2 linked regions of the Ovis aries genome follow. The protein of the gene in region 1 interacts with the protein of each later gene in a pairwise test. Links are inferred from orthologs where the notes say so. Each region holds a gene or a part of one and is shown in the gene's direction. Other genes may lie near its edges.

What was found.
Region 2: the proteins of BANP (region 1) and MAP2K1 interact in binary tests that used the Homo sapiens proteins (3 or more experiments, as listed by UniProt). The two-hybrid records come from large-scale screens. The link is inferred for Ovis aries from reciprocal best matches to the Homo sapiens genes BANP and MAP2K1.

What each region holds. Positions count from the first base shown.
Region 1 is NC_056067.1:12,929,245-12,933,354, forward strand, and holds the start of BANP (protein BANP), read left to right. Parts: upstream 1-1,310; 5' UTR 1,311-1,978; intron 1,979-4,110. UniProt on the Homo sapiens protein: Controls V(D)J recombination during T-cell development by repressing T-cell receptor (TCR) beta enhancer function. Binds to scaffold/matrix attachment region beta (S/MARbeta), an ATC-rich DNA sequence located upstream of the TCR beta enhancer.
Region 2 is NC_056060.1:13,310,741-13,314,240, forward strand, and holds part of MAP2K1 (dual specificity mitogen-activated protein kinase kinase 1), read left to right. Parts: intron 1-2,679; coding exon 2,680-2,804; intron 2,805-3,500. UniProt on the Homo sapiens protein: Dual specificity protein kinase which acts as an essential component of the MAP kinase signal transduction pathway.

The sequences.
Region 1 (4,110 bases):
CGAATTCTGGTTCTGGTCTGGTCTGATTTCTGGTAGGGTCGAGTTTCAGTCCTCCCTTCTCTGGAGGCCAGGGAAAAGTCCCATAATACCTGGGCATCTGTAGGTGGCAGGAGATGTCTGTAAGGCCACCCCTTTCGTCCCCCCCTCTCCTGCCTCCTCCCCCTTCTTCTTTCAACCTGGCTTCCTTTCCTCCCTTGAAATCTTTGATGTTAGTACCTGGATCTGAAGTTCTGTGTCTCTATAGGAGGTTTTCTGAGAGACTGTATTCTTGTATTTAAGGGCTTCCCTGGTGGTGCAGAGGTTAAAGCGTCTACCGGCAATGTGGGAGAGCTGGGTTTCATCCCTGGGTTGGGAAGATCCCCTGGAGAAGGAAATGGCAACCCACTCCAGTATTCTTGCCTGGAGAATCCCATGGACGGAGGAGCTTGGTGGGCTACAGTCCACGGGTTGCAAAGAGTCGGACACGACTGAGGGACTTCACTGTCACTTAATAAGAATTTTCCAGTTTGTTGTGATCCACACAGTCAAAAGTTTTAGCATAGACAATGAAGGAGAAGTAGATATTCTTCTGGAATTCTCTTGCTTTTTGTATGATCCAACAGATGTTGGCAATTTGATCTCTGGTTCCTCTCTGCCTTTTCTAAGGATACATAACAAACATCACAATACATAACATCAATTACACATAAAATATATATCACATATAATTAATATATATTTTTCTAGGAGCGTGTCTTTGAACCTGTGACGAACCTGGGAACCCCTGAGCTCGCCTGCTACTCAGGGGAACCCCGCTGCAGCAGTGGCCAGAGCCGCGCCCGGTGCAGCGGCCTTGCACACCTCAACTACAAGTCCCAGCATTCCATGCGCTGGCACGGGTCGGGGGGGATGGGACCACAAGTACCAGCAGGCTTCGCGCAGACGCAGGAACCACGAGTCCCAGAATGCACTGCTCGAGGCTTGCGCAGGGCCCTCCGGGACATGTAGTCGTCTATGGCGCTAATTCCTATTCATTAGGCCTCAAAGAAAATGCAAATTCCCCGAACGGTCCACCAACGCGACTTTTCAGGGGCTAGTGAGAAGCCTGAACGCGTGACAGAGAAGTAAGAAGTTTGGAGGCCAATCTGTGGCGAGGATGCAGGACCCGTGCGCATGCCCGGCGGTCGTCGGCGCCAGCCCAGCGCGGGCGGGAGATTCCGAGCAGCAGGCCCCGCCCTCGCGCCCTGCCCCGTCCCCGTTCCTCCTCCCGGTGAGCCTGCGCAGATGGTGCAGGGCGGAGGGCCGCGGGGAGGGACTCGCGGCGCCTGCGCAGAGCGGCGGCTTCTCTCGCGAGGACGGACGCCATTATCGCATCTCCCCGACAAACACCACGAGAATTCCGCAGCCCACACGGTAATTGCAGCTCCCGCAGCCGGTCGCGTCTCCACCTCCCCCTTCCCGCGGGGCGAGAGCGAGAGCGAGATCTCCCCTCCTCCCTCCTCCCTGCGCCCTCCTCCGGCCGCGGCGCCCGCGCCGCCGCCCCCGCCCCCCCGACACGGCCACCGGCCCCAACGGCCCGCCGTCCTGTGCGCCCCCGTCTCAGCCCTGTCAAGCCGCCTGCCCGCCGCGCCTCAGCGCACCCGCACCTGGCTCCGGCCGCCCATCCCCCGGCCCGCCGCCCCCGCCGTCGCGGTGCGCGGGGTCCGTCGCGGAGCGGGCCTCCCTTCCGGGACCAGGCCCGCAAGAGCAGCGTCCGGCCGCGGGCGGGCGGGGTGGGGTCGCGCTGCTGTTGCTGCGGTGTAGCCGCTCCGGGTCGTGAGGCCACGGGCTGGCAGGCGGCTAGGCGGCTCCCCCCCGGGAGGCCGGCGGCCGCGGACGCGGGGACAGCGGCTGCGGGCGGAAGTGCGGGAGGCGGCTGTTCTCGCTGGGCGGGCGGCGGGCCCGAGTGAGGAGCGGCCCTGGGGACCCCTGCCCGGTGCTCGGAATCTTCGAGCCGCCGGTAACGTTAACTCCGTGTGTTTAAAGCTCCTTTGCCCCCCCTTGTCTGGCGATTAAAATAAGCGTTTCCTCCTGGGACGTCGGGTCCTGTCACGGCTCCAATTTTGAGAAAGCTGATGCCGTGTGTGGGTCCAGTGCTGCGGCCAGTCCCGCCGGCGTTTCCAGCGCTTCTCATCGCGGCGGTCGGGTCAGGGGGACAGGGAGGTGGCTGCGGCCCACGGAGGGAAGGGGCTTCCCTGGGTCACACGGCCAGGTTTGAATGCGATCTGTCCCAAGTCCATGTTCTGAAAAAACTGCACACGTTTGATACTTTAATAAAGTAATGCCGCAAAGTGTCAATGGAAGACTATAAAACAACAGCCCCCACCCCACCTCCCAGTTCCACTCCTCCAAGACTTTATATTTTTGCTGTTTCATGAGGAAGTTCTTCGTTGCTATAAATAATAAGCTGGCACTTTACTGGTTTTATACATTCCTGACTTGCTGTTAACAGATAGGATGACTGACTTTTTCATATCGCGTCTCACCTCTATCCCCTGATCACTATGTTCAGTTCAGATTGTTTATAACTAAGCAGATATTCACAGCTAGGTAGTCTATTTCCCCTGTTATACGGGTTTTTGCTTTTTTCTGTTGTTTGTGATGGCCTTTCTTTTTCTTTGCACTTTTTGTTCCTGTTGACTCTTTACCTTTTATTATTTTTTTAACTATTCCCCGAGGCATGTGGGATCTTAGTTCTCTGGGGATTGAACCTGTTCCCCCTGCAATGGAAGCATGGAGTCTCAACCACTGGACTGCTAGGGAAGTCCCACTTTACCTTGTTTTAGATTCTGAAGGATGGCACTAAATCTCTCTTACCATCCCCCTCTCCCCAGCCTTGTGGTGGTCTTTTTCTAATCTGGATTGTTTACTCCTTAGACCAGCACCAGTATCATCTTGACATTTTTTTTTTTACTATATACAACTGAGTTTGTTCAGGTCTCGTGTTTTAATCTTGACTTCCTTTATTTCAGTGAGAACCTACTGCCAAGTAGCCTTATTCCTTTTGGATAACTCTTCAGGATCCTCTTTGGTATTAAGACATTTCCGGAATTCCCGAAAACTGTGTAGAGTCCTACTCTGACTGCTTTCTGACTCTGGGGACTTGTCCTTCAGCTCTGGAATCTGAAAGTCTTGTGTCATTTGAGAATGTCTTCTGCTCTGCTTTTGGTGGTGGTTTAGTCGCTAAGTTGTCCGACTCTTGTGGCCCCACGGACTGTAGCCTACCAGGCTTCTCTGTCCGTGGGACTCTCCAGGCAAGAATACTGGAGTGGGTTGCTATTTCCTTCTCCAGCTCTGCTTTTACTCTTCTGTTTTAGGAGTTTCTGTTAGTTTGATGATGGACATCTTGGATTAACCCTCTGAATCTTCTGTCATTATCTTCTTCCTGTGTCATCTTATTCTTGTTTCTGGGATAGAAACATTTATCCTCCAGTCCTACTTAAAAATTTTTCATTTCCACAATCAAAGTTTAATTTCTAAGGATTTATAATGTTCTTTTTTCATAATAATGTATTGTTTGATGAATGCATTTTTCTCCTTGACTTTGGGGATACTAGTAAGGGTTTTTTTGGTTCCCTTTTGTTCTCTGATTTCTTGTGTTCTGTTGTGTCACTGTTCTTTTCCTCTTTTTAAAAAGACGGGCTTCTTGCTTTGTGTGGCAAGTACTCTTCAAATACTGGAATTATTGTTGTCTAAGGCCAGAGGAAGCAGGCAGAGAACTCATGAGTTTGGGGGGCTGATTTTTTGGTCACACTCACATGGTGGCTTATGGAATTTTTGTTCCTCAACCAGGGATTGAACCTGGGCCCATAGCAGTGAAAGCATGGTGTCCTGACCTCTGGACCACCAGGGAATTCCCCCGTGGGACTGCTTTTGAAAATGTGCAGGTTTCCTATTGGGTTTTGGGGAACTTTTTGTTGTGCTGGGACCTCAAATGCCAGAAGGCAGATTTTCTCTGGGCCTCTCTGCTTAAGGAAGATGCCTTTGACTGGGGGCTGCTCCACTTGGTCTAGGGACGGCCCTTGTACAGCTCTTCGTACAGGGACCTGACTTCCATGTGCAGGCACAACCCTCACCCTCTCCTGGTTTGGA
Region 2 (3,500 bases), on another chromosome or scaffold:
CAGGTCACTGTGTAAGACCGGCTGGAAGAGGAAGCTGCTGGGGACGGGAGCAGAGGAAGGAGGGGTGGGGACTGTGGGAAGCAAATCCAGGAGGCTGCTAGTGGGAGGAAACAGCCTCTCAGGCCTTATCTGACCTCTTTTCTGTCCCCAGAAAAGAGCCCGACTTTGCTGGGGTGCCAGGGCGGAGCATGTCCTATCCTGGCAGCTCCAGCCACATGTCCTGGAGTGGAAGAAGTTAGGATGTCTCCAAACAGCTTCTTGTTAGGCCTTCAGGGTCACCTTGAGGGGCCCTGTGTGTGCATTTGGCTTCCAGGGTGAATGTGGTCCAAGCAGGGAAACACCCCATCCCCACTGCATCTGCATGGGTGTTTCAGCCTCCCAGGCAGTGTTCCTGGGGCGAGTGGGGGAAGCGGGAGCTGACAGCCAGAGAGGGAGGAAAGTGGCATTATATAAGTTTGCAAAAAAGGAGGCTGGCTTGCCACGTGAACAGAAATCAGATACAAGGAGAGCCACAGAGGCTGTGCAGCCTCTCCCGAGCAGCGGCTGTGGCCTGGGGAGTGGTGTCTGAGCAGCAGGGGCAAGTGAGGGAGCGGGTGTCTGGAGCCGTGAGCTGCTGGTCTTGGAGTGCAACCGTGAAAGAATCCTTCTTTGTGATCCTGTCACGTGTGTGCTCTTTAAATGCCCACAGTTCATCCGGCGGATCCTGGTCTCCATCTGGTGAGGCTACGAGAGCTGTGGTGCTTATCACCACTTTACCGATCCGCAGACCACAGACTACAAAAGCCAAGGGCTCGCCCAAGGCTGCATGTGGAACATGTGGCAGGGCCAGGACGCGAATACAGGTCTCCTGTCTCTGTAGCTAGTGCCGCTCTTTTGCTTTTATAAGAAGACCTAATAGGTCATTTCTGAACAGGCCATGGGAACACTGGAAGGTGAGGGCGCTTGGGGCTTTGTGGTCAGTCACTCAGGGTATGAGTGATGTATGAGCAGGGTGAGTGGGGAGAAGACAGGTCCAGGCATCACAAGGTCTGAATTCTGGTTCCCACTTTATCCAGTTTTTGCTGTGTGACCTCAGTCAAGTCCCTGGACCCCTTTGGGCCTTAGGCTTTTCATCTCCACCATGAAGGGGAGGAGCCAGATGCCTTCTCAGGCTACTTCTGACACCTGTGTCTATATGGGAGACATGGGGGCGTGCCAGTGGGTTTGGAAAGATCTTGAATTCTGTGCTGCTGTGTTCTGTGACACGGGTCTTAGAAAGACAGTACCCACGGTGTGAAGTGTGTGTGTGTCCCCGGTGAGTTTAGCCCCATTCATTCACAGACATCGAGGAGTACTTCCTGTATTGTCCTGCCAGGTATTGTTCTGTATCTGCAGTTAAAGGAGTGAGGCAAACTGCCAGCGTCCCTGCCCTGGTGGAGCCGGTGGTGGGTGGAGAGAGGCTGGAGCTGGCGTGGCTGTGGTTAGGACCTGACCCTGGCTGGGGATGATGAGGGGCTAGGTAGAGGTGGGCAGGCGAGGACTTCCTGGGATATGCGAGAGGGATTTTTTTGTTTGTTTTTTTACCCTTGGAAAGATACTTATGGATGTTAGAATCTGTGTAAGAATAAATAAACACATTCTTGTGGGTATTGAAGGGGAGCATAATAAAATCTTAATAGTAGCTCTGGTAGGTTGGGATTATGAGGGTTTCACTCTTGCCTCTGGTTCTCCAGATGCCCTGTGTTTGTATTACGCCCGTCAGAGATTCCCTGTCAGGGTTTGTGATTTTGCTCTGGGGTTTGGCCTGCTCTTGAGTGGGTCTCCTTGTTTGCTAATGTCTGTCCACAAACCTGGTGCCTGGGGCCCCTTTACCAAGTCCCAGCCTCTGCTCTTCCTGCTTCATGGGACAGTTGTTTGAATCAGAGGAGATGGTAAAAGGAAAATGTTGAGAAATCTACCTCTTGGCAAAGGGAAGGGCCAGCGGACTAATACTGGTGGTAGGCGCCAGGGTGGCCGTGGGGCTGGCTCGAGTGCAGCGAAGGGGAACGGGGCCGGTGCTGGGGACACTGTCCTGACCCCGAGGAGCAGCTGTAAGCCCTCCCTAGTTCTCGGGTCCCGACAGCGAGAGACTGTCCTTAACTAACAGGTAGACGCAGGCTCTTAGAGAAGTGACTTCAGTGAAAGAGAATCGGAAGTTGGCTCCCATCCCCTGGCACGCACACTTTTAAAACCCCCATCTTCTGTGCTTGTCGGGTCAAGAATAGCAGTGCCCGCCTCCATCCCACCCTCCTTTGGTCTTTGGTGTGTAGCCTCAGCAAGCATACAGGCCTTCCTATTCCTTCCTCCCTGTGATCCAGTGATAGGCGCTGTGTCTTGCCAACAGAGGCGGCTGAAGCAACAGACCTTTCAGCCTTGATTACTCATGGTAACTGACTCCTTCCTGTGGGTCATCTGGCCAAGACTGGATTCTGAGTGGAAAACACTGGCTCTCTGTCTTGCTTCTGTAGCAGCTTGTCACTCCTCTGCTGACGGGTCTTCCCCGAGCCCTGAGCCGGGGGAACAGGGGCCGCGGTGTCCCGTGTCCGTGAGCCAAGGGCTGGCTCCGTGATGGGGGCGTCCGCGGTCAGGGCTAGTCTGGCTGGGCAGCGCTTCCCAGCCTACCTGTCAGTTCTCTACCTTCCGGTTTTCTTTCCCCTACAGATGTCAAGCCGTCCAACATCCTAGTGAACAGCCGTGGGGAGATCAAGCTCTGTGACTTTGGGGTCAGCGGGCAGCTCATCGACTCCATGGCCAACTCTTTCGTGGGCACCAGGTCCTACATGTCGGTATGAGCAGCTCGTTCCATTTCTCGAGGTTCTTGTCTGATCAGGAATAGGAGCCAAGCGGGTGTCTTCCCATGTGGAGCCAGACCCTTGTGCTTGGGTGATGGGGATGGGGGAAAAAGAAATGAGGGATGCGCCGTGTGGTCCCTCCCTGAGGAGATCAGTCTCAGGGGAGATGGGCTCGGCCTTTCACAGGCCTTGGAGCATAGTCAGGGCACTGGGACCTTGACTCACTGGAAGAGACAGTGGATCACAGCTTCAGCTCAAACTGGCGCTTGGATGTTTCCAGAGCTTGGCTTTCATTCTGTAGACATGGAGCTCCAGCCACCCTCAGGACCTCTGCCTGCTGTCTTTAGACCCTCAGAATGACATGCCCAGAAATGCCCCCACCCCAGATTGCCCCGCCTTTCCCATTAGCAGTAAATGGCATCACTGTCTCCTTAGTCTCCCAGGATAGAAATCTGAGCATCAGCTTTCAGCCTCTCTGCCCATCTCCCCGTCCTTCCAGCACCTAGTGACCCCGCCTCCTGTCCTGTGAGTCTCTTCAGAATTGTCTTTCCCTGTGCAGTCTCTTCTCTCCTGCCTTGCTGCATGTCTCCCAGTTATCTGCCCCTCTCCCACCACAGCACAACTTCCTGGTCCCCTGGCATCTGGTTCAGCCGACAGCCTGAGGTCCCCGAGTCCTCCCACCTGCTTCCA